Linked DNA regions of Oryctolagus cuniculus. The main gene of each other region encodes a partner of the protein of the gene in region 4 in a complex. Links are inferred from orthologs where the notes say so. Each region holds a gene or a part of one and is shown on either strand. Other genes may lie near its edges.

Region 1 (4,339 bases), on a different chromosome or scaffold from region 4:
TGGCAACCACCCTGAAAATGTGACTTAAAACCACAAGGTCACACATGCAGCACATGAAGCTATTCATGGGGGAGATGCCGGCTGGTCTGGAAACAAGCGTTTTAGCCACAGCTTGGCAGCCTGCTGGTGAAGGACATTCTACCTGCGTCTGAGGGGCCCTCACACCCCCAGCCCCACTGGATAGCCTCAAACTCATCTAAGTTTAATTATCCTCCAGGGCCCCATGGTTGGGGGGGCAGGTAGGACTTCAACATATGCATGTGGGGAGGGTTATAATTGAGTCCTTAGCCCCTGGCAACCTACAAGCTCAGCAGCAACCACTGTTGAACCTAGGGGAGCACCCGATGTGCCATTATCAAGATCGCTCCTGTTGAGGTCGTCTTTGGAGCTATGGGGTTTTGGTCAAGGCACTGCCCTGGCGGGAATTACGTTTTAGGAGAACACACCCTGGCGTTGCTCACAGGATGGATTTTCCTGAAAGAGACCATAGGCAGGGAAAGCAATCGAGAGACTCCCTCACTCATCTCCGACATAAAAAAAAATGCAGACCCACATTATGACGGTAGCCTCGCAAGGCATCCAAGGCAGAACGCCCTTCCTGATGCTTCCGCCAAATGGGATCTCTTCTAACTGTGCGGTGTTCTAATGCAGCTCATGGAACCCTCACATTTCATTTCACCGCACAGAGTACTGAGTGTCATACCGGAAATAAAAATTCCCTTCCACTTGGCAGTTCCCGGGCTCCAGCACCGGGTGTGGGCGCCGCGCACTGCCGCGACGCAGCAGCCGAGGGGGACCCCGCGTCCCGCACTCCTTCGCCTTGGGTCCTGTTTCTTCACTCAGCCACAAGCTAGGCGATCGGGGGCCCGCCGGACTCGGCCCCCGGGGACGCCGTAGCCACCGCCGAGCGCCCCGGCTCGCGCGCCGGACGCTCCTCAGGAGTCGCTCCCCGGACGGCGCGGCGGCCTCCGCAAGTACCGGAGCGCAGAGAACGGCCCACGTCGTGGGACCAAGGAAGGAACTGTTAGCGACTGAGTTCCCAGCCGTCAGGAAGCTGACCAGCTCCGCTTCTTTCTCGGGGCTGTGGCAGCCGCGCCCCGAAGCCGGACCCGCAAGATGCCCTAATCCTGGGATTCTGCGCCATGTTTGGCAGGAGGCAGGCTAGAAGCAGTAGAACTGAGAGTCATCAGCCATAAAGTATAGATTTCGTCAGCACGAATACAAAGACAGAACTAAAAAAGAGAGAGAAATGGTTTTGTAACGTGTGGTGTGATTTTTTTTTTTTTAACTCTAGGCGCCTACCCCTTTAAGAGAGCCGGCGGTGCCCCCACCCCACCGCATCCCAGGGTGCCTCGCGCGGCGCGTCCAACCCGCTCCCGTCCCAGGGTTCCCTGCCCGCGGCGCGCTCGCTTCCGGCGGCTACGAGCGCGCGGCGAGCGTCCGGCGTGCTCTGGCGTGCCTGCCCCACCCCCCTCGGCCTCGGTCTCGCAGTGGCTGGGCTTGAAGTTCCCGCCAGGTCAGGGCTGGGCAAAAACGATGCTGCCTGGCCCGCCCTGGCTTTGAGACTGAGAAAAACGCCCATCTCGAGCTTGCTGACAGCTTCCAGCCCCGGCAGCCATGTCCACAGGGTTCTCCTTCGGGTCGGGGACGCTGGGCTCCACCACCGTAGCGGCCGGCGGGACCAGCACCGGCGGCGGTTTCACCTTCGGCACCGGGGCGTCTAGGTAACCGCGCTTTCTCGCCTGCCCGGACCCGGCCCTCGTCCGCAAGGCTCCCTGGTGCCCCTACCCTCTCTCTCTCTCTCGGGTAGGCCTGGAGACGAGCATTTGCTGAGCCGGAGGCCTCCCGCTCCCCCACGCGCCCGGGCCGTGCTGGCGGCTGTGGTGGGGAGGACCCCAGACTCCGCGTTTGGGTCATTGTTCCTACTGCGTGGAGTCTCATTCCCGAGCTTCAGCGGTGTCAGTCTTAGGTGTGGGAAGAATGTTGAGCGAATGAATGAAATGGTTGCATATTGTGGGGTTTTACAGACCAACAGCTAGTAGAAAATCTGAAGGACAAATAATAGCTTTTTTTCCCCCTGATAATTCGGATTCCATTGTGTTTTACGGTTTTGAACATGACCGTGTGTTGCAGATCTCTTAGTTATTTTTACGGAGCTCTCAGACCTTCGTGCCACATGGGAGCCTGTCTGTCTGGTTTGTTTTGTTTTAAACAAACAGCTTGAACAGCGTGTATTGTGGTAACTTCCTGCCGAATGGGCACGTTCGTGTGTCCTAGGTCCGAATGTTGTGTTGTGAGGAATCACATTGCTACCTAAATTACCAAATGTAGAGATAGCCTGTTCATCCGTTTTGCGCATCCTGCTAGTTCAAGTGGTGACAGAAGTAACTAGCGGAGGTCCAGAAACAGACTGGTGAGAGATCATTACGAGAGACTTAATCTTTACGACTCTTGTCTTTTGACAAGAGGAGCTCAGAAAATCGAGAAGGGTGCATCCCATGGGCAAGATGGCTCCTGAGGCTTGTAGGAGGTCACTGTAGATTAAAAAGGCACATATATCGTCTGCAATGCTTGTGTTTTAAAAGGGGAGGGGAGAGGAAGGGCGGACTGCACAGTCCCGGCCGAAATCTGTTTCGCTCTTCACACTTAATCCGCAAGCCCTGATCATCCTCTGCATGTGCCACCCGTGTCCGTTTCCGTGCCACCACACCTGGCTTCAAGCTGTTGTAATTTATGTAGGTTAAATTCCTGCTTGTTAGGCTCTGTTTTTGAAGGTGGGATAAATGAGAGACCTGCCCTCCTGACACATTCCTGGGAAAATAGTGATTCTTGTTAAGCTTACAACCTGCCGTCTTGTGAGGGACGAAAACTGCTCCCGTAAAGCCGTGCGTAGATCAGTTCAGGGGACTAACTGCCGTCTCAGAACCCGCTGTTACAGTAATCTTTCTAACACATTGGTAGATGTTGTAAAAACGTCCATTGCTTCACATTTCGATCATTTCCCACTGGCTTAAAAAGAAGTAACAAATGAAAACATTTTCCCAGTGGTTCCCCAGGCCCACTATATTCTAGAACTTCTCCAGCTCATCTTGGGTCTTGTCATTTCCACTGTTAAAGGTAACATTGACAGCCGGCGCCGCTGCTCACTAGGCTAATCCTCCGCCTTGCGGCGCCGGCACACCAGGTTCTAGTCCCCGTCGGGGCGCCGGATTCTGTCCCGGTTGCCCCTCTTTCAGGCCAGCTCTCTGCTGTGGCCAGGGAGTGCAGTGGAGGATGGCCCAAGTGCTTGGGCCCTGCACCCGCATGGGAGACCAGGATAAGTACCTGGCTCCTGCCTTCGGATCATCGCGATGCGCCAGCCGTAGCACGCTGGCCGCAGCGGCCATTGGAGGGTGAACCAACGGCAAAGGAAGACCTTTCTCTCTGTCTCTCTCTTACTGTCCACTCTGCCTGTCAAACAACAACAACAACAAAAAGGTAACATTGACATTACCAGCCAGTAGGTGCCCAAGAATAAATACTTGAAACAAAGTTTCAGAGAAAGAAACTAAACCCTTGCTTGATGTTGATATTTTCTGTTCTGTTCCATTTCCTTTAAGAAAATGCTGCTTGTGACTTGCTATACTCCGCCCCTAGAGCACTCATCACAGTTGTAATCAGTTCATTATGTTTGTTGTTTTCTTGTTTGGTGTCTGATCCCAGTTCTAAAGCATAAGTTCCTTGATGCTAGAGACCTTTTCATAGTGTTTTTCCAGTAAACACAGTGACTGGAGCTTGAATAAATGAGCACTTAGCATCTGTACCTCCTCCTGACGAAACCTCCTGAGGGCAGGATCTGGGCCTTGATTTACACTCCATCCTCAGTCCTTTGGACAGTGCCTGGCATAGAAAAGGGGCTTTCATAAATACTGGTTCAATGACTGAGTTATTAGCAACAGACTCAAAAATGTACTCAAGCTGTCGAAAGGCTTGTATAAATTAATGAAAGGAGACAGTCTAACAGCTGCTTATTAAAGTGCTGCTGGAAGGCCTGATGGCCTCGTGCCTCCTGGGGACTTGGTCTCTCAAGGTACATCAGTGTGAGAGTGTTGCTTCCCAAGCTTCAGATCCCACGTCTGGAAGAGGGCTATGCTAACATTCATCTCAGAGTTGTTGAATGAGAAGAAATGAAGCAAGCAAGGTATTTAGCATCATGTCTGCCACTTGCTCACTGCTTTTGTGTGTTAGCTCCCAGGCCCACATTAAAGCCAACTGGGGTGACAATGCTTACATGATGGAATCAGCTGCTCCCCTCCCCTCCTCTCCCCTCTCCCCCACCTGCTTTGTAATTTTATTTATT
Region 2 (4,423 bases), on a different chromosome or scaffold from region 4:
TCACGCTCCCTAATACCTTGGAGCTTTTAGAGGCTACTGGCCCGAACGCCTCCCCTGATCAGCTAACTCCCACCTCACCTTGTCTTCCCTGCATTCATCAGGGTTCTGAACGACAACCTTTGTGTGCACTGTATCTTGGGAAAAGTTTACCCATCACTAAGGTCAGATGTGCTACACACAGGCTATCTTTTCTTCAACTCTAAACCTATCTTCAGGTCAGAGTTTAGAGAAAAGAATGAGGGCCACCCGGAAGCAGTTGCGGAGGTCAGCCCTTCTCTTCCTCTTTCCCTGAGAGCAGCGGCAGGGGTGGGGCTTGTGCAGTCACGGCCGAGATCAAGGCTCGGGACCTTCGAGGCAAGAAGGCGACACTGCTGAAACAGCGGAGGACCCGCAGGTCACCAAAGTGACAGGTGCGCGGCGTCCAAGCTCTCCAAAGCCATCCCCGTGTTCTCACCGTCATGAACCACACCCAGAAGAACCTCAGGAAATTCCACAAGGGCAAGTAGGAGCCCCTGGACCTGCGACCCCTGGACACGCGCCGTGCACCGCCAGCTCAGCAAGTATGAGGAGAATCTGAGACCAAGAAGCGGCAGGGGAGCAGCTGTCCCCACTGCAGAAGCGCACGGCCAGGTGTCATTAAACACACAAAACGGGGGAAAAAAAAATGCGAATCCACTCTGCGCTGGTGTTCCCAAAAATATGAAAGCCAAAGAGTTTTCCTGGGCTTCGTTCTTCTACATTAGATTCTTTTTTTTAAGATTTGTTTATTTGTTTGTTTTAAAGTCAGAGTTAGAGAGAAGGCGTGACAGAAAAAGCGAGGTCTTCCATCTGCTGGTTCACTCCCCAGACGGCTACAACAGCCAGGGCTGGGCCAGGCCTAAGCCAGGAGCCAGGAGCTTCTTCCAGTCTCCCAGGTGGGTGCAGGGGCCCAAGGACTTGGGCCATCTTCCTGTTTTTCCCAGGCCATAGCAGGGAGCTGGATAGGAAATGGAGCAGCCGGGACATGAACTGGCGCCCATATGGGATGCTGGCTTCACATGCAGTGGCTTTACTGCTGTGCCACAGCGCCAGCCCCACACTAGATTCCTAGTGTTGTTTCATACAGGATTCTTAACACAGCCCACAGACTAAGTTTGATGTTTATACATATTTGCTAGAAGGCAAATATGAGGACTTCACAAAGTTCATGGAAAAAAGAACTAAAAGATTTTAGTCCAAAAGAAATTTCAAAATCCATGCAGTTTTTTCATAACTGTTTTTCATGAAATTTCTGGAGACCCTCATACTTTTAATCCCAACTGATTTACAGTAGCAAAAATTCAGTTTTCCAGGTAAGCCTGTATTATGGTTTCATACAGGAGAGTAAGTTTTTCAGTCTTTTTTGTAATTCTTATCTTTGTTTTTTTTTTTCTTTCATTTATTCAAAAGGCAGTTAGACAGGATAGACACTGAGAGACAGAGAGAGGTCTTCCATCCACTGGTTCACTCTCCAGATGGCCGCAACAGTCAAGGCTGGGCCAGGCTGAAGCCAGGAGCCAGGAGCTTCTTCCAGATCTCCCACAGGGGAGGGAGGGGCCCAAGGCCTTGGGCCACCCTCCGAGACTTTCCAAGCACATTAACAGGGAGCTGGATGGGAGCTGGAGCAGCCGGGACTTGAACCAGCGCCCATGTGGGATGCCGGCACTGCAGGCGGCTGCTTCACCCGCTGTGCCGCAGCGCCGGCCCAGTAATTCTCAACTGGATCATCTCCAGTACCTCTTTGGGTCTCGGTGACATGTGCGTAGTGGGTCAGGATCAGGAGCACAGGAGAGTTCAAAACGAGAACCAACTCAGGGAAAACGAAATCATATCCATCATTGTACTGCAGCAGGCTCAATTTCAGTGCAGCAAAAACAAACAGAACCCCGAGATGCAGAACCGTCCCAGCTGTGGTGCTACGATGTTCATTAGTGTGAGCGAAATAAGAAAACAGTCGGGGCCAAACCTGGGGTAAAGCAGCCGCCTGCAGCGCCGGCATCCCGTACGGGCGCCGGTTCAAGTCCCCGCTGCTCCACTTCCCACCCAGCTCTCTGCTGTGGCCTGGGAAAGCAGTGGAGGATGCCCACGTCCTTGGGCCCCTGCACCCACGTGGGAGACCTGGAGGAAGCTCCTGGCTCCGGATCGGCGCAGCTCCGGCCACTGCGGCCATGTGGGGAGTGAACCGGCGGATGGAAGACTCTCTCTCCCCTAAGTGCATTCCAGGGACTTGCTGTTCACAGGGCTAAAAGCTTCCTGCTACTTGCTCCCCCTCGGCTGTCTGAAATACCCGTAGCTCGCGCTCTGTATCCTCGTTCTGTCAGGACGCACGTGGAAACTGCGGGGTGCGCCACGCTGAGAGCTGTTCCTGGGGGGCTCCCATCGCTCGGACCACTCGGCCCGCCCCTCAGTGCCCAGACTTCAGGCTGGTTTCAGTCCTCCGAGCGCACTCCCTAGGACGATGTCCCCCGGCTCTACGGCAGGCAGGCCCTGGCCACCTGACCCCGCGCTACCCTGGGCCTTCGGGAACATCACTCCCCCAGCCTCGACCTGCTCCTGTACCCTAACTACTGGAGATTACCACGGTGCCCGGCACACAGCAAGCGCTCAATAAAGTCACCGCCACAGAAGCAGCTGCACAAGACCGACACGGCACGGCGGAACCGCGCCCGGAGGGGCCATCAGGCCGACCGCACAGCAGAGCGCTCGTGGGCGCGCCGAGAACTCGGAACGCGGTCAGCTGCTCACGCAGGAGGCGGGGTAGCCGGCATCCGAGCCTCGCCGTTCTGGGCTAGGGCCGCGGAGGCAACGCCGGGACTAAGGCAAGGAGGGCGGCCCCGGCCAGTTTCTGACCTTCATCTCCCGCTCGGGAATCATGGCATCCATCTCGTCTCCCATCGTGACGCCCTCAGCTTGTCTACAAAGCTGCAGCTGCCGCCCGCGGCCTTCCCCACAGAGCCCAGGCGGCTCCGAAGCCAATTTCCTTCCCTCCGCGCCAGCGGCGCGCAGCAGATGACGCACTTCCGGCGCGCTTTGCTGCCGTCTCACGTCCCGGTTCGCGATGCGGTCGAGGAAGGCCGCGGGATCGCCTGAAGTCGCGCGCTCGCCCGGACGCCGCCCCTCATTGGTCGACTCAAAAGGGGGTGGGGCATGAGGATCCGCGCGCCTGCGCTCTGGGTGCGCCCGGCGTTCGCGGTTTGCGCGGGCTTCTTGGTGGTAGCGTCTGGTTAGCGGGGCGTCTGAGCGCCATGCGCTTTTGTTCCCGTGAGGTCTCGGAGGAACTTTTACATGTGGGTGGCTAGTAGTAGCTTCCTTGCGTTTTCAAGGGGGCGGGGCAGTAGGCGCAGAAAGTGGGTGTGGGGCGGCCCTGCCCCTCGAGACCCTAGGGCGGAGAGGGAGGTTAGAGGTCACCCAAGGGTAACGGGTGCTAGAGCCGGAGCCGTTCTCTTCGCCACTTTGGGTCACTAAGGAATGTGCGCCGCCTTTGCGCAAAACGCTGGGTGCGCTCCCCTTTTAAATAAATTAGCTGAGACGCAGAGTAGCAGCGCGAGACATCTCCCCTCGGCTGGGTCACGCTCCAGGTGGCCACAACCCCTGGCCAAGGCCGGGAGCAGGAACCTGACTCCATCCGCGTCCCGCTCGTGGGTGCGGGGGCCCAAGCGTTCGGGCCACCTTCCGCCGCTGGCCGGGCGCATTAGCGGGGAGCTGCGTCCGGGACTCCGAGCCGGACCCTGGGTGCGGGATGCTGGCCTTAACCCGCCCTGGCCGCCAGTCCCCCAGGGGTATTGTCGTCACTTGATGGATGACGAGAGAGAAGCACAGAGTTACCAGTGTCATCACAGAGTGGCGGAGGCAGGATGAGAATTCGGGTTGTTGGGGCCTGGGCTGCGGCATAGCCGGTAAAGCCACCGCCTGCGGCGCTGGTTCGAGTCCCGGCTGTTCCACTTCCGATCCAGCTTCCTGTTAATGTGCTTGGAAGAGCAGTGGAAGACAAAGTGCTTGTGCCCCTGAACCCACGGGGAGGACCAGAGGAGGCTCCTGGCTTCTGATCGGCGTAGCTCAAGCCGTTGTGGACAATTGGGGAGTGAACCATCGGATAGAAGACCTCTCTCTCTGCCTCTCCTCTCTCTGTGTAACTCAGATAAATAAGTAAATATTTAAAAAAGAAAAAAAGAATTCGGGTTGTGTCTGGATGCGCTGGCAACGCAGCCCAGTCGTCCCCGGAACCATTTGTTGTGGAATTGTCCGTAGGTGGGACCCAGGCAGGGCCTGTCCGGCCACTTGGTGTCCAGTAAATTGCTCGTCTGCTCCCAGCCTGCTTCTCTTTGGGGGGGGGGGGGCCTGTGAGGTGTAACGGGAGCTCCGCCTGGCACACGGGCACGCCGTCGGCACTCACGCGCACAAGCGT
Region 3 (4,397 bases), on a different chromosome or scaffold from region 4:
ATATGACAAGAGCGAAGCAATGCAAGGCAAATGGAAGGTGGGCAATGCTTTAAGACCCTTTTCTCCGCTCCAATGTGCTCTTATTCTGCTTTGGAGAACTCAAGTAATCAGCAGGTCATTTTACAAAGAGATTGAGTATCAAAGAACACTTTAAAAGTCTGAAATAGATTAGAGGCCATAACTAAAATTATGTAGGGAGGTCAGTGCAGGAGAAAATAGTTTGTGTTCTCAAAAGCCAGATTTTACACAATGGCAGGCACTAAATCTAGTTAGGTGTGCTTGCAGTAGAAAAGACGACATGGATCTTAGTAAAGGCTGGTCTTTTTCATGATGCGCAGGAACTCTTGCTCATTGACTTCTCCATCTCCATCTCGATCAGCTTCATCAATCATTTCCTGCATGACAGTAAAGATTCAGAGAACATTAATTCATAAAATAAACAAAAAGGTGACTACATCATAGGCTTTAACATTGCTATTTGAATAGACAATTGTAGTCTACTCGATACATTATAATAACTTGGCTCTTGAAGAGTCATTGGAAAACCAAGTCATATTTTGTCATACATGTCACCTGGAAGGAAGTTCGAAGGACTTGACCAGAAGGACTCCCAAAACCTAAAACAGTAAATAAAACTGTACACACATGCATTTTTCTGGAAGCAGGGTCATAGGATTGTCAGACTATCAAAGGAAAGTTACGTTGTTAGCAAAGGGGCCAAAGAACAGTATCTTTCATTCAAAGAGGTTTTCCCACCAGGGAAAAATCAAAAGCAGAGAAGTCTCAGAGGGCTCAACGGTGGGAATTCACCGTTCCAGCCTCACACATGACAAACCTGTAGCTCCTCATCTGTCAGGTTCTCGCCCAACTCCTTGGCCACGCGTTTCAGATTTTTGAATGATATCTTTCCAGTTTCATCATCATCGAAGAGCTTGAAAGCTTTCAGAATTTCTTCTTTGGTATCTTTCTCAGACTTAACAAGTAGAACATAAAATGCATTATCAGGAAAACACCATGGTTACCCGTGTTCCATAGCCCCACCACTGCCCATTCCCCCCCCCCCCATTTACAACAATACAAGCCAAGAAGACAAAGAACAGAATTAGAGGCAGCTGCTGAGACACCTAGTGAACCTGACACTGCACATTGGCATGCTAAGCCCTGGTATTTTGCTGTGTTCTCCTGTTCAGAGTTTGCTCTAGTTCAAATGCCAAGGAGGGACTTCCAGGGGAATCAACTTCTTAGATTCATTCCCTAACCCTCCACCTTGCATTTAAAAATGAATGGTGTCTACAGTTTTTCTATTTGGGTTTATCACAGATATATCAGTTGGAAAAACAGTGAAAAATGACACTTTTGCTACTTTACAAAGGGTGAAATGACTTCATTAGTTTGTGACCTTGAAGAAAGCCAAAGAGAATTTAGGCTAATTCTCAGTCAAAAATACTATCTTTTATCAGATGAATTCTCCAATCTTTGTCAATTTTTCTCCAATTAGGTCATTTTCACATCTAGACTAGATAGATAGACTTTATCACTATTTTAAAATTATTTTTGCATTTACTCTAGATAGATAGACATTATCTATCACTATGAGTAAAAAACATGCTAATGGTTATCTCAGCTAACTTACCATTTTCTGAGTCATCACAGTCAAAAAGTCACTAAAGTTCATTTTTCCAGTGCCTTCCTTATCAATTTCACTTATCATTTTCTTGATTTCTTCTTTCTTGGGTTCAAACCCCAGGGCTCTCATTGCCACCTGTAAGGAAACAGGAATGTCTCAATATGCATATCTGAATCTAGCAGGAGCAAATATAAGTGTTGAGAATATTAAGCCAACATCTACCATAATAATGGTAAAATGACTACAGAATAAACATTGATGTAACTGACCTTTGTTGTCAATTTTATTTAGTAACACTTGGCATAATAAAAGACAGGAAAAGAGAGCACAAAAATCCCAGCCCTGTTAGTTTTTACAGGAAGGAGAGGGCAAAAGGGGTAGAGTTGTGACAGAGAAAGGGTAAGGAAGAAGCAGAGGTAGTATAGCAAGAACGTGCAGGGCTTACCTTAAGTTCTTTAACATCTATGGTCCCAGTTCCATCAGCATCAAAGAGATCAAAAGCTTCCCTGATTTCTTGTTTCTGCTCTTCAGTAAGCTCAGGCTTAGGACTCATCCTTTTCCGCTGGGAACTAGATGTTATGTTTCCCTTCTTAAAGTTAGAGGCCTGTAGAAATTATACGAACACATGAGCACACTATTATGTAATACAGTCCATAGTTACAGACACTGCTATCTCTTTTAAAACTAATTTATACCAACCAATTCCCAATTTCTGCTCAACAAGAGATAATGGGGTTTATTGGAAAGAATGAAACTTCCCGTGAAGCGCTCTCCCTCCCTTTTCTTTAGTAGTATTTGTTAGAAGCAAAGAGATCCCTTGTTCTTCGGATACATCACTCCGAGGCAGTTAGCTAAGGAAGTGACTGTAGATAACTCGAAGTGAGTACTGCCCTCCCTGAACGCGGGGATCCTGGCTCCAAAAACAACCCCTCGCGGTACTAGGCTTCCCAAGAGGTACTCTGACTTTCCGATTACTTCTGGATTTGGCCAAAGATTATTAAGTTGTTTAGATAAGTGTTCTGTCCATATCAAATAGTAAAACAATCTATTTGGCACCTTCATGCCCTCCCCAAGATGCTCAAAGCATCTCCGGAATGCCCATATTTAAATTGTAAAATACAAGTTAACAATCAGAACATAACAAAGCTCCTCCCAGGTGGGGGAAGTTTGGCAGAGAGAGGAGGCCAAGATCTGAAAGGGCCAGGATCTGAGAGGGGTTGGGCCCTCTTCTTTGCCTAGGAAGTCCCCGAGGCGGGTAGAGAAAGCCAGGGGGACCCGAGGGACGGGTAAGGGCCCGCTGTGCATGACGGGGAGGCTAGGGCGAAGCGCAGGCCCAGCGGGGTGGCTGGCGTGTCTACCCTTCCGGGAAAGAGCTCAAAGGAAGGATCAGTGCACTAAAGGTGAGCAAGAGAGTCAGTGTGGTGTGGCGGGGCCGCAGCCCTGAGAAGGACTCAGTCCCTGGGTGCAAGGCCGGACTGGGGAGCCAGCACTCACCATAGCCGACGCACTCCGCTGCCCGTTGTTACGGCAACCTACGTACACACCGACTCGGCGCCATTCCCACCGCCCCGCGCGCGCGGCCCAGCTCCCTGTTGGCTGCCGGCTCACCTCCAGCGCTCCCCATTGGTCTACGTCTGGAGTGGGTAGGGCTAACCTCACAAAGCCCGGGCCCAGGCGGGGGGCGGTGCGCTGGGAGGGTGAGACCTGCTCTCATTGGACAACATCACGCTGAGAGCTCCGACTGGCTGAGCCGACTCTAGGCCCGGCCAATCCGCTAGGTAGAAGGAGCTCGGCTGATTCTCAGCTCACACAGGCGGGGAAAAAAGGGTGGCCTTCCTAGGCTGGAGCTCGGTCCTTGTCGGCGGCGGGCTAGCTGAGATCAACCGGGGGACATTTACGGACCGAAGGGTAAGAGTCGCCACGTAGGCTTCGGAAGCCGCTTTGTATCGGCGACAGGGCAGGGCGGGCGAGCGAAGGACTAGGCGGGGCGGTCTGAGTGGCAGTGGTTTTCTGGTCTGGCCTAAGACTGAGTTAGGAACAAGGGCATCAGGAAGATCCCAGGACCTTCGTGTGGGAGCTGGGACTGTACTTACTCACAGGATAGCTGAGACCCTGACAGGGGAAGGGGCGTGCTGAGTGTCGTCGCAGAGGGTTTGACATCTGGCACGTAGACTGGTTGTTTGAGAGAATACAGCAGGTTCCAGGAGCAGCCCGGTACAGTGAGTCGGAGACCTTGACAATGGGTGTTGAACGACGTGAAGGAGGTTCCTCCTCATGCTTGTCTCAAAATACACTCTTTTTGACACAGACTCTCAAGGCAGTCAGGGAGGAGAACTCCAGGCCGAGACACCCTTGTGAGCAAAGTCACGGGAATTGTGGAAGAAGATCTCCAGGGGAGCATGAGTAATGGTAAGGGCTGACTTGAAACTGCAAAAGGACTGGAGTCTGCCCTCCTTAGACAGCTCCACGGGTCTCAGCTGCACCTACTCATGCGGCATTGAGGCGGTTATCTGGGGAGGCAGAGGACAGAGCAGAGGTTTCTCTGGCTTCAAAAGGCCTGAGGCATCCTAGCACATCTTAAGAGGAGTGTCTACTCTTTGCCCTCTTCCTCTTTACAGCAGTGAACTGGGTTCAAAACTTTGTGTTCATGTTTAACTTTCCCTGCCCTCTCCCCTGTATCTAGTCTCTTAAGTTCTATCAGTTCTGCCCATTAAATGCCATTTCTTTTCTCTTTTCCACCTGTATTCCTTTCTCAATTCTAGCATTCATC
Region 4 (3,721 bases):
AATGGAGAGGGCCATGTTCTTGAGCCTCTCCTTGTTGGACTGAGGTGCACTGATCTGGGGGACGACAGGGCTCAGCAGTTTGTTCATCAGCTCCAGCACCTTATCAGCGTTCTGTTCACGTTTTAAGATCAAAGAGATAACCAATGAAGGGAAAAACTACATAATCAAAACAAAACAGACAATTTTCGGAGGCAATGGAGGAAAATGTTCTACATCTGGGAGCTGGTTACATAGACAACATACCTATGCAAAACCCACTGAGCTGTACACCCTGAACACTGGCATATTTTTCTCTTAGTTATACCTCAGTCAAAATGTTTATATAAATTAAAAAATCATGATTGATAACCCTCTTTTTGCCTCCTCTTAGGTGAATGGGGTGAATGCGATCACATAATCGTGAGCAGCCATCGTGTGTTCTGAGGTGCTCACGTCACTCCCAGCCGCCCGAGAAGGCCCAGCTGAAGCACTACTCCCCAGCACGCTCTAGTCAGCAGAGTGTCTCGGAACTGCCCACAAGTCAGGCGCGATGGCATTTTTACTGCAGCTTCACCATCGGAATGTGAGGGATGCTTATTCAGAGGCTGAGTGAGACAACAATTCAATGCCTGCAGGACAACCTCTCAGTATGCTGCTTTTATTTGGCCAGAAATGCCTTATGGGCAAAAATAATTCTGTAAAATGGGAATTTCACCCTGGATCATTAAGTGCCTAACTGCTGGGAGAAAATGCCTCAACAGGGAGATTGCTACAGCAATGGCATTGCTGAAATATTTGTGTATTGAATGGCAAAAGGCCAACAGATCAATCAAGTGCAGAAGAAGGAAAAGGGCACATTTTACCTTGGCAAGGTCATAAAGCTTTGCTGCTTCTTCAAACAGTCCTTTATTTTCTGCCACGGAAGCAACTTTGTTGATAATAGGCTTTGTGTCACTAGTGAACTTATCTATGACTCCAGGCTGACAAGACAAATTACGGAGGGGGAGGAAGAGAGAGAAATGGATGCACAGAGCTATTATTTTAAGCACTGAGAAGTAACTGCGAGCCAAAAAATACTTTAACTGAAAACGCTTGCCCTGAGCAGTGCATGTTCATCAGTTAGACCTGGCTTTCCTGAGGATACAAGGTCCTCTTGGAACTACAAAAGGGACCAATGAAACCACACACAAAGAGCAGACTCGCTGGACACAGAGGAGTCAGAAATCTGACACCCATGCTTTCTAATTTTCAAAAACGACCCAGTAGATGAAATTATCAGTGATGTTAGGTTTGCCGAGGAGCAGGAACCAGAGAGAAAAACCCAGAGGCCTGGAGAAAATATCTGCAAGACTCAGGATTTGCTCTCTACAACAGACAGCAAAAGAACTCAGGGGAAAAACAAAATGCATGGCAATGGTATCAGGACATCCAAAAAAAACCCACAAAAATCCACTCCCTTACCACTCAACAGCAACCAAATGGTCAGAAGAGAAGGGAGGCCCTAGGAACCATGGGAGAGCAGAGGTGGACTGAGTGACATCCCTGACTCTCCATCAGTGCTGGACCAAGTCAGGCTGACCTGTCCTGGCCATTCTGGAGGCAGCTGGGAGATCAGGGAGGAGCAGAGGCTCTTGGGGCTGAAGGACGGGGTTCCGACTCCAGTCCCCTTCTTACTACCTGTGTGATCTGAGAGTAACCTCCCTGTCTCCATCTCTTCAAGTGGAAAACACAGATAATTACAGTTTCCTCCCTACTGGGTTATTGTGGCAATTAAATAAGGAGCTACATGCAAAGTCTTCAGCTCGGTGCCCGGCTACTGTCACCACCCAAGAAGCATGGGAGATGGCCCCTCTTCTGAGCCACACAGTAGGAGCAGTACTTCTTCTGGAGACCACTGGGCCAGCCACTCGTTTTTACAAATGAGAAGAGTGAGCAGCCAAGGGGGCAAGGGTTTCTCAAGGCCACAGGGAGAGTTGGGGTCAGTACTGGCTGCTGACAAGAGGATCTCTTCGCCTTCTCCTGTGACACCCAGTAAGCATCACAAGGCTCAGGAACTGGCTGAGGCTCCCTTACGGAGCCACATTCCCAGGGTCGGTATTGAGTTCTGGGCACTCAGAAATGGCCTTCCCAGGGAGACCAAGACCATTTCTGACTTCTCCATCTGGGCAGAGTAGGCATAATAATCAATTTCTTCTTCTTTTTTTTTCAAATCTTCTGACCCAAAGAATGGCAGAAATGTAACCTTCTCAGCCTGCAAAATGGCAGGCATGAACCAATGAGTAATCTGAACATAAAAAACTATGGAATTGCAGATTTATGTACATGTGTATAAAATCAAAGTCATCAAGTAGGTCTACAACTTTCATTCTCCATTTGTTTCTTAAATTACATAACTTCATTCAGCTTTGGAGCTTCAGTTTCCTGGCTCCTAAAACCCAACCCAACTATACTCTCTGCCCTGCCTGCAATGCGAGCTATCCCTCCTCTAACATCTGACTCACCTTCCGACTGCCATCATTCTCCAGTTTCCCAAGGATCATATCAAACTGGGGAGGGAAAACAAAGTTTATTCAATTTATTGGGTAAGGATATAAACATAACCAAGAATTCTCCAGAGACTACAGGGGAAGAAAACAGAGGGATGGGAGAAGCCTTACGTTAACTAAGAAACATGAGACTGAAATCAGTATTTTCATTGTTAGACACCAAGGAAACCTTCATAACCACCCCCACTCAGGCGGAACCACACTGAGGTAAATGAGCCTGCATTCCCATGAGACAGGCATGGGGAACCAGGGGCAGCTGACCTACCTCTCGGCTTTCTATCACCAGCTCGCTCACACAGCGCAGAAACATGTTTTCTCCTTGACTATCTTTCTCGTCCCTGTACAGGGATAACAGCAACTCAGTCTCGGGTATGGACTGGCGGTCTCTACCAGTCTTTCTCAGAATGGCAGAAATCAACACTGGCTGAAGTAAGTGGTCAAAAGCAAACTTCACCTGAGGAAGTAAAAGTACTGGAGGGCTTCCCTTGGGTCCGTGGACTCAAACTTCCGGGTGTAGAGCATAAGTAGCCGCACAAAGTTCAATCGCCGCATGCAGGGAGGGTCCCCAGGCTCATGGCTGACTGCGTCGTGGGGGAAAGAACGTGTCACAACCACACTGTCCCTCTGACCCATGCAACCCAACAATCATGGAAGCTAAATCCGTAGACCCAGCAGCATCTACTCCTGCAGCCTAGACAACGCTTGCCAGTGCCAGCTTTGCTCAATTCTCTCTACCACCCTGTCCTCAATTTCTCACCAAGGATGCAGCACAGGAAACAGACCTTTGTAGTAAATTTCCGGTCCACTGGTCTTAAAATGAAAAAAATAGTACAATTGACCAATATAGCATGTACTCCGAGAGGATTTCACTGTGCTAAGAAGGAATCCGAATGCATCCATTCATTGCTCTCTCACCACACGGCGGAATGTACAGAAGATGGCTGGCTGGGGTTGCTGGTGTCATAAGGCCAGAGCCCTAACGGGATCCAGAAGCGCCACTCTAAGGACTGCTTCTCCTGCATCACCCTCCGGACACGACGCTAGCACTTCGAGAGCACACCAGGGAGAATGACCGGGGTGGCAGGAGGTGGGGTAACACAAGAAACACAACACTAATCCTCCAGAAAGCTCAACTATTTGCAATGCTCAGAAATTACTGGTAGTGTCTGCCCAAATCCTATTGGTTACAGTTCTAC
Region 5 (4,323 bases), on a different chromosome or scaffold from region 4:
GGCGCTTCAGGCCAAGGCTTTAACCCACTTCACCACAGTGCTGCCCCCCCGCCCCATTTCCTTTCTAGCTGTTGGCCAGAGGTCATCTCAACTTTTAGAAGCAGTCCATATCTGATTCTATAGATTTCCTGTGCAAATTATTTCTGTGAAATCCATTTTGCTATTATTATATCTTATAATCATTGTTCTCTCAAATGTGATGATCAGCTACTTACTGAATTCTTTTTATCAATTCCAATAGCTTCTTTGGTATTCTTGGATTTTCCAGGTGTTATATAATTCATACACAATGTTAATTTCATGTGGCACTTCTTCCCCTTGTTTTATTGCATCATTCATGAGAATTTCAAGGATAATATTGATAACCATTTTAATGGTTTCTGTGGCAGACTTGCTAATCCCATTTTATGTTTAGTAACAGATGGTATGACCTCATGTTTTATCAGGGAACATGGCATCCAAACTAGAGAGCTCTTCTCAGCCTCCCTTACAGCAAGCAAGTAGTGGCCATGTCACTAGTTTCCACGGCTTAAATGTGAAGAGAAGTGATGCGTGTGACTTCCCTATCATTCCCTTAACAGGGTATGGCACTGACGACATTTGACCTTAACAAGTAAAAACACATTTTCCCAAATTACTTGTCCACAGTGTCATTCTCTATGAAATGACCATAAGCATCTCACAAAACTCTAGTGTTCCGGGGATCAAGGTTGAGAAACCCTAATGTTCCATTCTAAGTGTGTTATTCAGCATGGTAAAAAAAAAAAAAAAAAAAAAAAAAAAAGCACTGTCCATACCTGCTTTATTAATATGTATCTTAGAATGAGTAAGGGATATTTTGTCCTTGAGATCATCTCGGTTATCTAGCATTATGATTATTTAATAGATTTATATGTTGAATTCTTCATAAACACACTCTATTTAATGATAGCGAACTGTGTCGTTAAGAGGACACCAAACGTTTTGCTAACATCTAGGACCCAAAGGAACATCAACTGCAGCCAGCCACTGGGGACACAATGAATGACGTGCATAAACTCGGTCGCAAGTGAGCCTGCGTAGGATGCTGAGGGTTGGGTTGGCCGCAAAAATTAAGCTCACGTCTCTGAGAGCACCTGCACCGGTCTCCTCCCCGCCATTCCCTACCTGGGAGCTGTCCACACGCCGGCCCGCAAAGGATTCGGGGAAAAAGCAGCTGGCCAATCTAAGGGGCCGGAGGGCACGGGAGAGGCGGGCACAAACGCTCCTTTGACTGACGCTAAAGCCATCCAATGAAAATAGGGCGTAGTGCCGAGCGGGGCACAACCTTAGCGGGTTTCGACCAATCCCGCTCAGAAGTGTCTGTCTTCTGGGCGGGGCTGGTGGTGGCAGCGGCCGTTCGCGTCTGTTGAACGGCTTGTGGGAGTCCTGCTGCTTCGGGCCAGGGCATAAAGTCTCTGAGAGGAACGTGTCTGTCCGGGGAGGAAAATGAGTTTAGCTCTGAGGTCGGTAGTCGTGAGGCGGCCGCGCTCCCCACGCCGCGGAGCGGGCCCCGGGCGTGCTCGCGTGCGTGTGTGGGTGTGGAAGGGAGGCCGTTGGGGCCGAGGTGAGGAGGGGGCTCGCCGGCCTGCCAGCCCCCAGCCCCCCGGGAGTGCAGAGCCCTGCAGGTGACCGGCCCGGCGCTCGCTGCCGAGGTGGTCGCCTGTGGCCGCGCACGGGGCTTTCGGCCTAGGGGGGTGGGCCGCGGGCGTGCGGTGCTGCGACCCCGCCCACCTGGCCCCCGCACCGCTGCCCACGGAGTCGCTCGCCCGTGTGCCCCCGGCCCCGCCGAATCGGAGACCCGCCCGGAGTCGGTGTCTTCTGTCCCGACCCTAGCCCTCGGTCTGTGCCCCACCCCACCCCCCGTGTCAGATAGCCTTGAAGGCAGGTGCTCAGAGACTGTGTTCCGCCACGGGTGGCCCTGGCTGCGGTCAGGTGTGGGCGGGGTCCGGACTTGCCCGCGGGCAGTCCGGGCAGGGGAATGGCTGACCCCGGCTGTGCCCAGGTGTGTGTCCACTCGGGTCTCTTGGGGAAGGTCTTCCTCAGCTCTGACGTACTGCACCTGCTGTCATTTGGTAGCCATCCCTATTGCCTTTTTTTCCCCCTTAAGATTTCAGAAACCAAAATAAGTTTTTTGTTTGTTTGTTTTTTTTTTTTTTTTAAAGATTTATTTATTTGAAAGGCAGAGTGAGTGACAGAAAGAGACAGGGAAAGAGATCTTGGATCCGCTGGTTCAGTCCTCAAAGGGCGTCCATGGTTGGGGTTGGCACAGGGGGGAGCCAGGAGCCCTGAACATGGCAGTTCACCTGAACATGCCACCCTCCTGGGTGGCAGGGGCTCAAGCTTTGGGGCCATCTTCCGCTGCCTTCCCGGGGAGCAGCTGGGACTCAGGGTTTGTGTTCCTTGGACCTGAGAGGCAGCCCTACCTGCTGGGCCACGATGCTGCCCGCCCCCCCCCATGGCTTTCACATGCAAATAAGATGATCTGTTATGAGACAATCAACTGGTTTTACATTTAGAATTTTTAAAACGTGTTCTTACAGAATTGGTGTTCTCATTTGAAACTCTGAAGCACTTCTACATCTGTCTCAGATGGAAGACATTCCTAACTTCCAAATAATTTTGCTTTTCATTTTCTTTACTCTTTTCCAGAGTTATGAGAAGTTTGACCTATAGTTTATAAGTTAAATGAGACAAGAATTTTCACATTTTTTGGAAGTAAGCACAAATGCTACATACCACTTTTTGATCTTTTAACATTCATGATATATTTAGACTCACTGCTTTGTTGGCTGACATGTTAATATTGATGGAAGAAACTACAAACAAAGTACCTAGATGTGATCCAAAATAGTTTTGAACTTACAATGCCAAAATATAGGTTAATTGATAAATTATTTGGCACTTTTTTGTAGTAATCTTGAAAACTTAATTACAAGAAATATACTGAAGTATAATAAATATTTATGTTGATTGTCAATTATGAATTCTACTTTGATTTGGATTTTTTTCCACTTTTGCAGAATGATATAAGTGTTGATTTGGTTTTGATTGAGGTTTTTGGTCTGAAAGTAATATTTCTGACCATTCTTTTTTTTTAAGGTTTTTTATTTATTTATTTGAGAGGTAGAATTATAGACAGTGAGAAGGAGAGACAAAGATCTTCCGTCTGTTGGTTCACTCCCCAGTGGCCGCAACGGCTGGAGCTGTGCTGATCTGAAGCCAGGAGTCTGGTGCTTCTTCCTGGTCTCCCATGTGGGTACAGGGGCCCAAGGACTTGGGCCATCTTTTACTGCTTTCCCAGGCCACAGCAGAGAGCTGGATTGGAAGAGGAGCAGCTGGGACTAGAACCAGTGCCCATAAGGGATGTTCGCACCACAGGTGGAGGATTAACCTACTGCGCCATAGTGCCAGCCTCCTCTGACCATTCTTGTTTCTGAGTTGGGAGGAGGGAAGGTTTGGTTCCCCCCCCCCCCCCTTTTTTTGAAACGTATATGAAAGAGTGACAGAGACAAAGTCAGAGAAATCTTCCATCTCTGAATGGCCGCTATGGCTGAGGCTGGGCCAGGCTGAAGCTAGTAGCCAAGAACTCCATTCAGGTCTCCCATTTGGGTGATTGAACCAACCACTTGAGCCATGCCATAGTTGTCTGCCTTCCCAGGTGCATTAGCAGAGAGCTGATTGGAAGTGAAGCAGCTGGGACCTGAACTGGCACTCATGTGCGATGCCAGTGTGGCAGGTGGTGGCTTAATCCATTGCATTGTGACAGTGGCCCTTGTTCCCCATTTCTGTCAGAGTTTCGGCTTCATACTGGGAAGTGTACATTCATAGAACTGTGGACTATGGAACAAGCAGGATGTCAACTCATACAGAAAAAATACTTTATCTTTCTTCAACATATTTCCTTTTTGGAAATTTAGAAAGTTGTTGATTGTTTAGTTTGCATAAGAGAATACGATTAGAGTGGACTAATGACTTTTTTGTTTCCATTTTATAGAAGTGAGCTTGTAGTAGACAAAACAAAGAGAAAAAAAAGAAGAGAGCTCTCTGAGGAACAGAAACAAGAAATTAAAGATGCCTTTGAACTTTTTGATACAGACAAAGATGATGCAATAGATTATCATGAACTAAAGGTAAAGTATAAAGTATATATTTATCTGTTAAAGTGATTTGCATTTTTGACAGCTTTAAAATACATTTATTTTATTTATTTTATTTTTTTGACAGGCAGAGTGGACAGTGAGAGACAGAGACAGAGAGAAAGGTCTTCCTTTTCCTTTGGTTCACCCCCCAATGGCCGCTGCG
Region 6 (4,398 bases), on a different chromosome or scaffold from region 4:
ACATGTGATGTTAAGTGTTTCTTCCAGCCACAATCATATTCCATCTTTATAACCATTCCACTTAAATATTGTTTTCTTTGAAAGGCAGACAGAGAGAGCTCCTATCTGATTCAATTCATAAATGCCTGCACAGGCCAGGGCTGAGCTGAAGTGGAAGCCAAGAGTAAGGAAACTCAAAGGAGCTATCCCATGTGGAGGACAGGAACTAAACTATTTGAGCCATCAGCACTGCCTCCCAGAATCTGCACTGGCAGGGAACTGGAGTCAGGAGCGGGAATGAACCCAGAGGCACTTTGGTACTGAACTCAGAAACCAAGTGGTATCTTAACTGCTAGGCCAACACCAGTCCTTACTACTACTCCACTTTACAACAGGTCAGTTATCTCTCATTCCTCGCTACCACTGAAAACTCATCTAAGCGTTAGACAAGGCTCCCTTGTTTTCATGGTCCAGGAGGGGTGGTGGTGGAGACATGTTCTGCATACTCCACTTTCTAAACACTGCTGCTGTAACTCTGTGTGAGAGCCTCAGCCACCAGAGGTCTAGTTTCTAGAACAAGCCCACCTCTGCTTCTTGTAATACCAGGTTTCTCTGGGCTAGGCCCTGGCAGGAAAAGAGCAAGAGGATGAAAACGCAGCTCTCTGACCTCCAAAAGCCCCCAGCAAAGAAAACCAGAAAATGAATAAATAACAGGATACAAAGTGACAAGGTTGTAACAGAGACCTAACCAAGCATTAGGCAGCTTGCTGGGAAAAGTCAGCAAATGCGGGGACATTTGAACCAGGCCTTTAAGAGTAAGTACGGGTTCTCAACGTTCAAATGGGACAGAAGTTCTAAGAATCCTTAGTTGTACCGGAATCTAAGGTTGGCCATTCCCTTACAGGATCTCTAATGTTCATAATGTCTATCCTAGGGATAAAAGGAAAGGGTGTGTGCTGGTGCGGGCATGGGTTAAGAGACAAGGAGGTAGGGATTTAGGGCCTCTTAGCCACAGAATAGCTTTGCGGACAGATGCACCTCCCAGGAAGAGCGGCCAGCTCCGCACGTGGTCTGTCCAGGAAGTGTGAGCAGGGCGAGGAGGAAGCCTTCCCATCACCGCCCGCGGACTGGGGCAAGAAAAGGGTAGAATAGTTACCATGCCATCCTGGGGCCTTCCCTCTGATTGGCCCCTGCGCCCGCAGCCCGAGTCTCTCCGCTCGAAGGAAGGGGGCGGAGTCTCCAAGTAGCGTCATCACTCTTCTCCCACATCCCGCCCAGTGCACACCAGTCTGGCCACTCACTAGCCCCCTTCGAGGAGCCCTGTGTGACGTCAAGACTCTCTCCCAGCCAACCGCGGCTGTGAGGGGCGGGACTCCACGTACCTCCCACAGGCCCTCCCCTTTCTCTCCCCAACTCCATTTGACCCTCCTCTTCCCCCCCCTCCCGAAGACCGCCCTCACGTTCGGTTTCAAAAGACTCAGCGCCCAATGACTAACAGGGCGAACCTAGAGTGGCGGCTGGATCTGCCAATGCGCAGGCGGCGAGGGCGGAGCGCCCGGACTGAGCCTCTGACGGCGGGCGGCGTGTGACGCAGTCGGGCCCTCTGCGCGCTGCGCCTGAAGCGGCGGTCGGGAGCGGCGGCGGCGGCGGTGGCGACGGTTTCTTGGCAGCCTCGCGCTGCTCTGTGAGCGGCGGGCGGCGGACGGGCCTGGGCCCTCACTCCGGACACTTCCCCTCCCCCCCGCAGCGCGGTAAGTCGGGGCCGGCGGCGGCGGCGGCGGCGGCGGCGGCGAGGGACCGGGCAGGCTCCTCCTCCCCTCTGGGCGGGCGGGTGCGCGGGGCGTCCCAGGCCCGCGGCGCCGAAGTCTCGCGCCCGGGCGCGCACCTTCTGACCGGCGGCAGGGGGCGGGGCCCGTTTCGCTGCGGGCCGGAGGACCGGCTCTTCGTGTCCTCGGAGGGAATCGACTTCGGAGGGGTGTAGGCCCGGGGGTCTCCAGTTGCAGCCCACGCTTGGGGAGCTTCCATCTATCTGTTCGTACTCATTCATTCGCTTGACGGTGATTAGGAGCCCTCGGGGGCCGGCCTTTGCTGGGGCAGAGCGGAGAGAGCCAGGATAAGGTGTCTGACTCACTTCCTCGACTGTCGTGCGGGGTGGGCTTTATTTGCCTTGGTTTCCCCGTAGGAGAAATGGGCAGCCCGAGAGTTAGGGTGGGTGAGTCTGAAGTTTCTAGGCTTCTAAAGACAATATACAAGAATTAGGGTCGGTGCTGTGTAGTGAAAGGGTCGTGTCTTTTTCCCACGTGTTGCGTATCCAGCCAGATTTAAAAAAATTGGATTTCTGGCTAACTGTAATCTTAAGGACCTTAGAGATTATTCAGATCAACCCCCATAGCCTGCATCACATCCAGGTTTTATAGATGGGGAAACTGAAGCCCAGAGGCGGAGACAGCATTAGCGAATGCCAGATCTCTCGACTCAGTTTCGAAATGTGTCTGTTACCCCACCCTCCCTGGATGCGTGTCCCACTCTCCCATTATTAAGGATTCTCTTGGGGGAGGGGAGCAGAGGCATTCAGTAGTTAGAAGTAGACTTACCTTCAATAGCCTGACGGCTTTAGTTGCTACCAGCTCTGTCCATGGCCAGGTAGAAGCTTCATTAGTATCTCTTAACCTAGACCGCCATTACTAAAAAGTGGGTTTGAAAATGGCAATGATGTATGTACTGGAAAGGAATCTATACCACTGGGGCACTGGGGATCGTTGTCCAGTTTCCTATTAGAAATCTGAATTTTTGTCACTGTGTGGCTGAGGATTCAGCATACGGTTACTACAACAGTACTGTTGTAGGAACCATCACAAGACTTAAAAAGCTACACAATCACTTTGTAGTTGTACCTTGGAACTCATGGTTTGGCTCAGGTGCAGAATTCAAAGTGAGGTTTTGTGGTAGGGTAAGGCAAGGAAATTAAACTCTTTTTTTGGAGAATGGAATGAATTGGAAGAACAAAAGAAACAAGCAGTGAGCATTCTCTGTTAAGAGTCTTAGAAATTGCGAAGGAAACACTAGTTAACTGGGTGGCAGACAGTATATTTGCTTGGTGAAGGAAATTAAGCTATTTTAAAAGCCAAATCAGAGGTAGAACAGGATGAATGCACTAGGAAATGCTTCGACAGAATTATTTTGACTCACTTAAGATTTGATGAAATTGAATTAGTTGCCACGGTGGTCTGTTGACATCTGTTAGAGTGGCACCTTGCTGTTGTTTAGATGACAAAGCAAAAACTGAAAACTAGTAGTGCTTAAGAGAGGAAGGGAACTGTAGTCTAAATATTAAAATGTGAACAGTATATGTTTTCTGTGACATTTCTCAGTTAAAGCATCACCCTCTTCTGGGAAGCCTTTCCTGGCATTCTCTCTTCTAAGCTTCCCTAACACTTATTTGATGCTTCTATTTATAGCACATACCATTTTGTATTTTAGCTGTTTGTGTTTCTAGTAGACCATGGTAAAATGTTTTTTTATTTTGTACTCAGGTTGTTTTGCACATAGTGGGCCCTCATTTGCATTCAAGAATAAACAAATATGGAAGAGCTAAAACTACAGATAGTCAGCAAAGAGGCTGGGTATTTGTGGGCTTCTAAAATTTGGGGACCAGATAAGGGGTCCCAATCCGTTTATGTGTTATGTGGTACTTTGGTATTTGACTTTGTTTATGTCCACAGTTCCTGGATAACTAAACGCAAATAAGATTTTTAAGGAACCAAATTCAGAGCTTGGGAACAATTGGTCATATTATTGTAATATTTATATGGAGGCGGTTAATATAGGAAGTAGAAGTAGGACTGATGTTTAATTTCCAGTAAAGAGACAACTGTAATTGTGCAATTTGTTGAAAGGTTAGAGAAATAAGAGATTTAGATTGAACATTCAGAGGCAAGGTATGAAAACATCTACTGAGCAGGGTTTCTTTGGCACTGTTGACACTTTGGGCCAGATATTTATTGTGGTGAACTCTCTTTAGTCTTGTAGGATTTTTAGCATTTTAGCATTCCTGTCCCATCATTAGATACCCCTAACACCTCTTCTCAAGTTACAATTGAGAATGTCTCAAGAAATTGTCAGTTGTCCTTGTTTGAGACTACTGCTCTAGTGAAAACATTCTTAGTATTAGTAAAATCATACATACCTCTATCTTATCTTTATAGTCAGTTAATAAATTGCATTTTGTTGGAATAATTATCTATGAAAAACCCTTCAGTTGTCAAGTTCTGTAATTGGGAAGCTGAAGAGCTAAGAGTCCTAGAGTCACTTTCTGTAGTTCCTCATTTCAGTTCTGTGGTAGCGTCCCTTTCTCTTAAATGGGAGAAATCAGGGTCTTGTTTGAAAGAGGGTAGGCTATTATGCAAATCAATATGTATC
Region 7 (3,721 bases), on a different chromosome or scaffold from region 4:
ATGGCTGTAATGGCTGGTTCTTGTCCAGGCTGAAGCCAGGAGTCCTGGACTCCATCTTGGTCTCCCATGTGGATGGCAGGGGCCATCATCCACTGCTTTCCCAGGTGCACTAGCAGGGAGTTGGATCGGAAGTGGTGCAGCTGGGCCGTGAACTGGCACTGTGTGTCAGCATTGGGAGTGGCAGCTTTATCCACTAAGGCACAACATTGGACTTGGCTTATTATCTTTTTGAATTGATCAAAGAGAATTACTGTAAATTATATTTGTAGTTATTCATTTAAGAACACCATTTTTGGACAGATTTTTAAAATTTCAGGGGCCAGTGCTGTGGCGTAGTGGGTAAAGCCGCTGCCTGCAGTGCCGGCATCCTGTATGGGTGCTGGTTTGAGTCCTGGCTGCCCCACTTCTGATCTAGCTCTCCTATGGCCTGGGAAAGTCGTAGAGGATGGCCCCTGCACCCGTGTGGGAGACCCGGAAGAAGCTCTTTCCTGGCTCCTGGCTTTGGATGGACCTGCTCTGGCCTTTGAGGCCATTTGGGGAGCGAGCCAGCAGTGGGAAGACTTCTCTCTGCCTCTGCCTCTCTGTAACTCTGTCTTTCAAATACATAAATAAATCTTAAAAAAAAATTTCAAATGTATTATTGTAGCCACCATATATTAAATGCCTTTGAGTCATGTAGTGTGCTAATAATTTTATTTATGTCTTTTTTTTTTTAAATCAACTTTAGTAGTTGGGATTTCCATTTTTCAAAAGAGGATACTGAGGTTAAATAATTAGCTAGAACTCATTTGTTAGTGTCAGAGTAGGACTTTAAGGTCCAGGTGGTCTTGTTCCATAGTGTGTATTCTACATAACTTAGGATTTACTCTCCAGGCTTAGACACTATTCTTACTGAGGCCCTGGGCTGCATCACTGTTTGCATTGCAGGTTCTCTGACTTAAAAAATATCTTTATGTGATGAAAGTCCATTTTCTTTTTTATTTTTTTTGACAGGCAGAGTGGACAGTGAGAGAGACAGAGAGAAAGGTCTTCCTTTGCCATTGGTTCACTCTCCAATGGCCGCTGTGGCTGGCGCATTGCGGCCGGCGCACCGCGCTGATCCAAAGGCAGGAGCCAGGTGCTTCTCCTGGTCTCCCATGGGGTGCAGGGCCCAAGCACTTGGGCCATCCTCCACTGTCTTCCCGGGCCACAGCAGAGAGCTGTCCTGGAAGAGGGGCAACTGGGATAGAATCTGGCACCCCGACCGGGACTAGAACCCTGTGTGCCGGTGCCACAGGTGGAGGATTAGCCTTTTGAGCCGCGGCTCTGGCCAAAAGTCCATTTTCTGTATCTTTATTATGTACTTAAATATATTTCTCCTGTGAGAAACATGAATGGGGTCTATTGACAGTTTTTACATTAGGGGATTATATGCTTAGGTATAGATAGATTAGAACTATATATCTATATGGTAGATAGTTACTCTGAGAAATGGGGTCAAATTTTGTATTGAAATGTTAAGTAGAAAAGGTAAGAATTGCATGTGTTTTCTAAAAGCTACAATTTATATTAAGTACTTGTTCTGAAGCCTTTTATACGAAGTATGGTAAATACATCAGCTGTATTGGCATCATTTGGGGACTAGTTAGACCTGTATAATCTTGGGCTCCACCTCATACCTTGTGAATTAGTACAAATTTTAAAAAGATCCCCAGGTGACTCTTATGTTTATTCAAGTTTGAAAAGCACTAGGAGACAGTTTAAGTTAGTATTCCAGAACTATATAATTAAGAATCTTAGCAGGAGATGGAAGATTCCTTTACTTTATTACCTGACTGTATTTTTGTACATTGTAGGTGGGTCACCACCACAACCAGTTGTGCCTGCTCATAAAGATAAAAGTGGAGCTCCACCAGTTAGAAGTATATATGATGACATTTCCAGCCCAGGACTTGGATCAACACCTTTAACTTCAAGAAGACAGGTGATAGACATGTCCTTATAGTTCACTTTAATTTTAAGTTTCTTTGTGGCTTAAACAGTTAGGATTAGTAATTTAAAAATTTCTTGAGATTTATTTTAGTGTAATAGTGTTACACAGAATAAGCATTAAGTGCATTTATCATAGAATCTGCTTACATTGCGTTTGTTATGAAATGTGCTTAGAAATATAATAGGACTCTACGTTGTATTCCATATAGGTAATTCTGTGATTTCTTTTATAGGTATGCTTTATCTTTTTACCTGTATGTCTCTTTAAAAATATTTCTTTATATATTTGAAAGAGTTACACAGAGAAGAGAGAGGAGAGGCAGAGAGAGGGGAAGAGGTTTTCCATCCGCTGGTTCGTTCCCCAATTGGCCACAACGGCTGGAGCTGCGCTGATCCGAAGCCAGGGGCTTCCTCTGGGTCTCCCATGCGGGTGCAGGGGCCCAAGGAGTTGGGTCATCTACTGCTTGCCCAGGCCATAGCAGAGAGCTGGATGGGAAGTGGAGCAGCCAGGACTCAAACTGGTGCCCATATGGGATGCCAGTGCTTCAGGCCAGGGCGTTAACCTGCTAAGCCACAGCGCCGGCCCCACCTGTATGTCTTTATACCTGCCTGTGCTCAACCTGCTTAATATACATGTGGAATATGATTATGTTTATTATTCTAATTGTTTAAGTCACCAAATATTTTATACATAGTTTTGTGAAAGAACAAATGAAGATTCTAGATTTTATCTTGATATAGAACACTTGGTAATGATTGAAAACTGTTTTACTAGTGGTTTTGTTAAGATCAGTATCCTTTTAGAGCTGTATTCACTGTTTACATTTTATCTTTTAACCGAAAAGAGCTGCCTCCTACATTTTTATGAGCTGAGTGTGTTAACTGGTGTAGGTGTTCTGATGATGGTATTAAGTTTTATTTTGTGTAGGTGGTCTGATAGTGTTTTTTTCCATTATGGATTATATTCCAGGTAGAGAGTATCTGTTTTGATGACGCTGACAGCAATAAGAACATATCTAATACTCAGGAAATACTTGCTATGTGCAGGCCCTGAGCTTATAACTTCTAATGTATTATTTCATTTAGTCCTCAGAATGAATCTTGTGAGTTAACTTACACGACCTTCATTTTATCACTGATGAAACTAGAGCAAGGGGAAGTTTAATTTGTCAAGGGTGGGGTAGTCAGTTTATAGCAGAGCCAGGCTTCAGACATAGACACTTTTTATTTGAGAGGCAGTGAAAGAGAGTGAGTGCACATGTGCTGGTTCTCCTCTACTGGATCAGTGTCCGGATGCCCACGACTTCTGAAGTCACGAGCGGAGAATTCAGTCCAGGTCTCCCATGTGGTTGCAGGGACTCAGTTAATTGAGCCATCGCCTGCTGCTTCCCAGGGTTTGCATTAGAAGGAAATTGGATTCAGGATCCAGAGGTGTGTTTGGAACCCAGGCACTGCCATATGGGGGCATCTCAGCTTGTCACCCTAACTGCTTAGTCTAGGCCACCTTTGTGGCAGAGTGGGTTAGGATGCCGCCTGCAGTGCTGATGTCCCGTTTAGACACCAGTTCAAGTCCTGTCTGTTCCACTTCTGATCCAACTCCCTGCTGATATTCCTGGGAAAGCAGTGGAAGATGACCTAAGGATTTGGGCTCCTGTGACCCACATGGGAGACACAGATGGAGTTCCAGGCTCCTGGCTTTGGCCTGGCCCAGTCTTGGCCAGCTGTTGTGGCCATTTGGGGAGTGAACCAG

The links.
Region 1: NUP93 (region 4) and NUP58 share a complex: the UniProt entries of both Homo sapiens proteins name them as parts of the p62 complex. The link is inferred for Oryctolagus cuniculus from reciprocal best matches to the Homo sapiens genes NUP93 and NUP58.
Region 2: NUP93 (region 4) and NUP214 share a complex: the UniProt entries of both Homo sapiens proteins name them as parts of the nuclear pore complex. The link is inferred for Oryctolagus cuniculus from reciprocal best matches to the Homo sapiens genes NUP93 and NUP214.
Region 3: NUP93 (region 4) and CETN2 share a complex: the UniProt entries of both Homo sapiens proteins name them as parts of the nuclear pore complex. The link is inferred for Oryctolagus cuniculus from reciprocal best matches to the Homo sapiens genes NUP93 and CETN2.
Region 5: NUP93 (region 4) and CETN3 share a complex: the UniProt entries of both Homo sapiens proteins name them as parts of the nuclear pore complex. The link is inferred for Oryctolagus cuniculus from reciprocal best matches to the Homo sapiens genes NUP93 and CETN3.
Region 6: NUP93 (region 4) and NUP98 share a complex: the UniProt entries of both Homo sapiens proteins name them as parts of the nuclear pore complex. The link is inferred for Oryctolagus cuniculus from reciprocal best matches to the Homo sapiens genes NUP93 and NUP98.
Region 7: the proteins of NUP93 (region 4) and NUP35 are in contact, whole or in part, in a crystal structure (PDB 7MW1), measured with the Homo sapiens proteins. The link is inferred for Oryctolagus cuniculus from reciprocal best matches to the Homo sapiens genes NUP93 and NUP35. Residues at the interface, in NP_055484.3 of Homo sapiens: Tyr266, Tyr269, Asn402, Ala407, Asp408, Lys409, Thr410, Glu411, Tyr413, Tyr448, His452, Phe453, Val455, Asn456, Leu461; in NP_612142.2 of Homo sapiens: Ala88, Pro89, Pro90, Val91, Arg92, Ser93, Ile94, Tyr95.

Annotation. Positions count from the first base shown.
Region 1 is NC_091440.1:95,323,655-95,327,993, forward strand, and holds the start of NUP58 (nucleoporin p58/p45), read left to right. Parts: upstream 1-1,374; 5' UTR 1,375-1,617; coding exon 1,618-1,724; intron 1,725-4,339. UniProt on the Homo sapiens protein: Component of the nuclear pore complex, a complex required for the trafficking across the nuclear membrane.
Region 2 is NC_091432.1:233,660,821-233,665,243, reverse strand, and holds the start of NUP214 (nuclear pore complex protein Nup214), read right to left. Parts: upstream 3,002-4,423; 5' UTR 2,914-3,001; coding exon 2,869-2,913; intron 1-2,868. UniProt on the Homo sapiens protein: Part of the nuclear pore complex. Has a critical role in nucleocytoplasmic transport.
Region 3 is NC_091453.1:131,267,294-131,271,690, forward strand, and holds the start of CETN2 (centrin-2), read right to left. Parts: upstream 2,905-4,397; 5' UTR 2,690-2,904; coding exon 2,684-2,689; exon of another isoform or gene 2,327-2,683; intron 2,232-2,326; coding exon 2,073-2,231; intron 1,763-2,072; coding exon 1,634-1,762; intron 974-1,633; coding exon 836-973; intron 396-835; coding exon 306-395; 3' UTR 1-305. UniProt on the Homo sapiens protein: Plays a fundamental role in microtubule organizing center structure and function. Required for centriole duplication and correct spindle formation. Has a role in regulating cytokinesis and genome stability via cooperation with CALM1 and CCP110.
Region 4 is NC_091449.1:40,509,537-40,513,257, reverse strand, and holds part of NUP93 (nuclear pore complex protein Nup93), read right to left. Parts: intron 3,107-3,721; coding exon 2,980-3,106; intron 2,864-2,979; coding exon 2,791-2,863; intron 2,526-2,790; coding exon 2,481-2,525; intron 960-2,480; coding exon 843-959; intron 112-842; coding exon 1-111. UniProt on the Homo sapiens protein: Plays a role in the nuclear pore complex (NPC) assembly and/or maintenance. May anchor nucleoporins, but not NUP153 and TPR, to the NPC. During renal development, regulates podocyte migration and proliferation through SMAD4 signaling.
Region 5 is NC_091445.1:13,137,450-13,141,772, reverse strand, and holds the start of CETN3 (centrin-3), read left to right. Parts: upstream 1-1,324; 5' UTR 1,325-1,467; coding exon 1,468-1,484; intron 1,485-4,015; coding exon 4,016-4,151; intron 4,152-4,323. UniProt on the Homo sapiens protein: Plays a fundamental role in microtubule-organizing center structure and function. As a component of the TREX-2 complex, involved in the export of mRNAs to the cytoplasm through the nuclear pores.
Region 6 is NC_091432.1:63,101,493-63,105,890, forward strand, and holds the start of NUP98 (nuclear pore complex protein Nup98-Nup96), read left to right. Parts: upstream 1-1,573; 5' UTR 1,574-1,730; intron 1,731-1,879; exon of another isoform or gene 1,880-2,097; intron 2,098-4,398. Other genes in the region: PGAP2 (post-GPI attachment to proteins factor 2), read right to left, coding at 1,136-1,232. UniProt on the Homo sapiens protein: Plays a role in the nuclear pore complex (NPC) assembly and/or maintenance. NUP98 and NUP96 are involved in the bidirectional transport across the NPC. May anchor NUP153 and TPR to the NPC.
Region 7 is NC_091434.1:57,515,293-57,519,013, reverse strand, and holds part of NUP35 (nucleoporin NUP35), read left to right. Parts: intron 1-1,835; coding exon 1,836-1,963; intron 1,964-3,721. UniProt on the Homo sapiens protein: Functions as a component of the nuclear pore complex (NPC).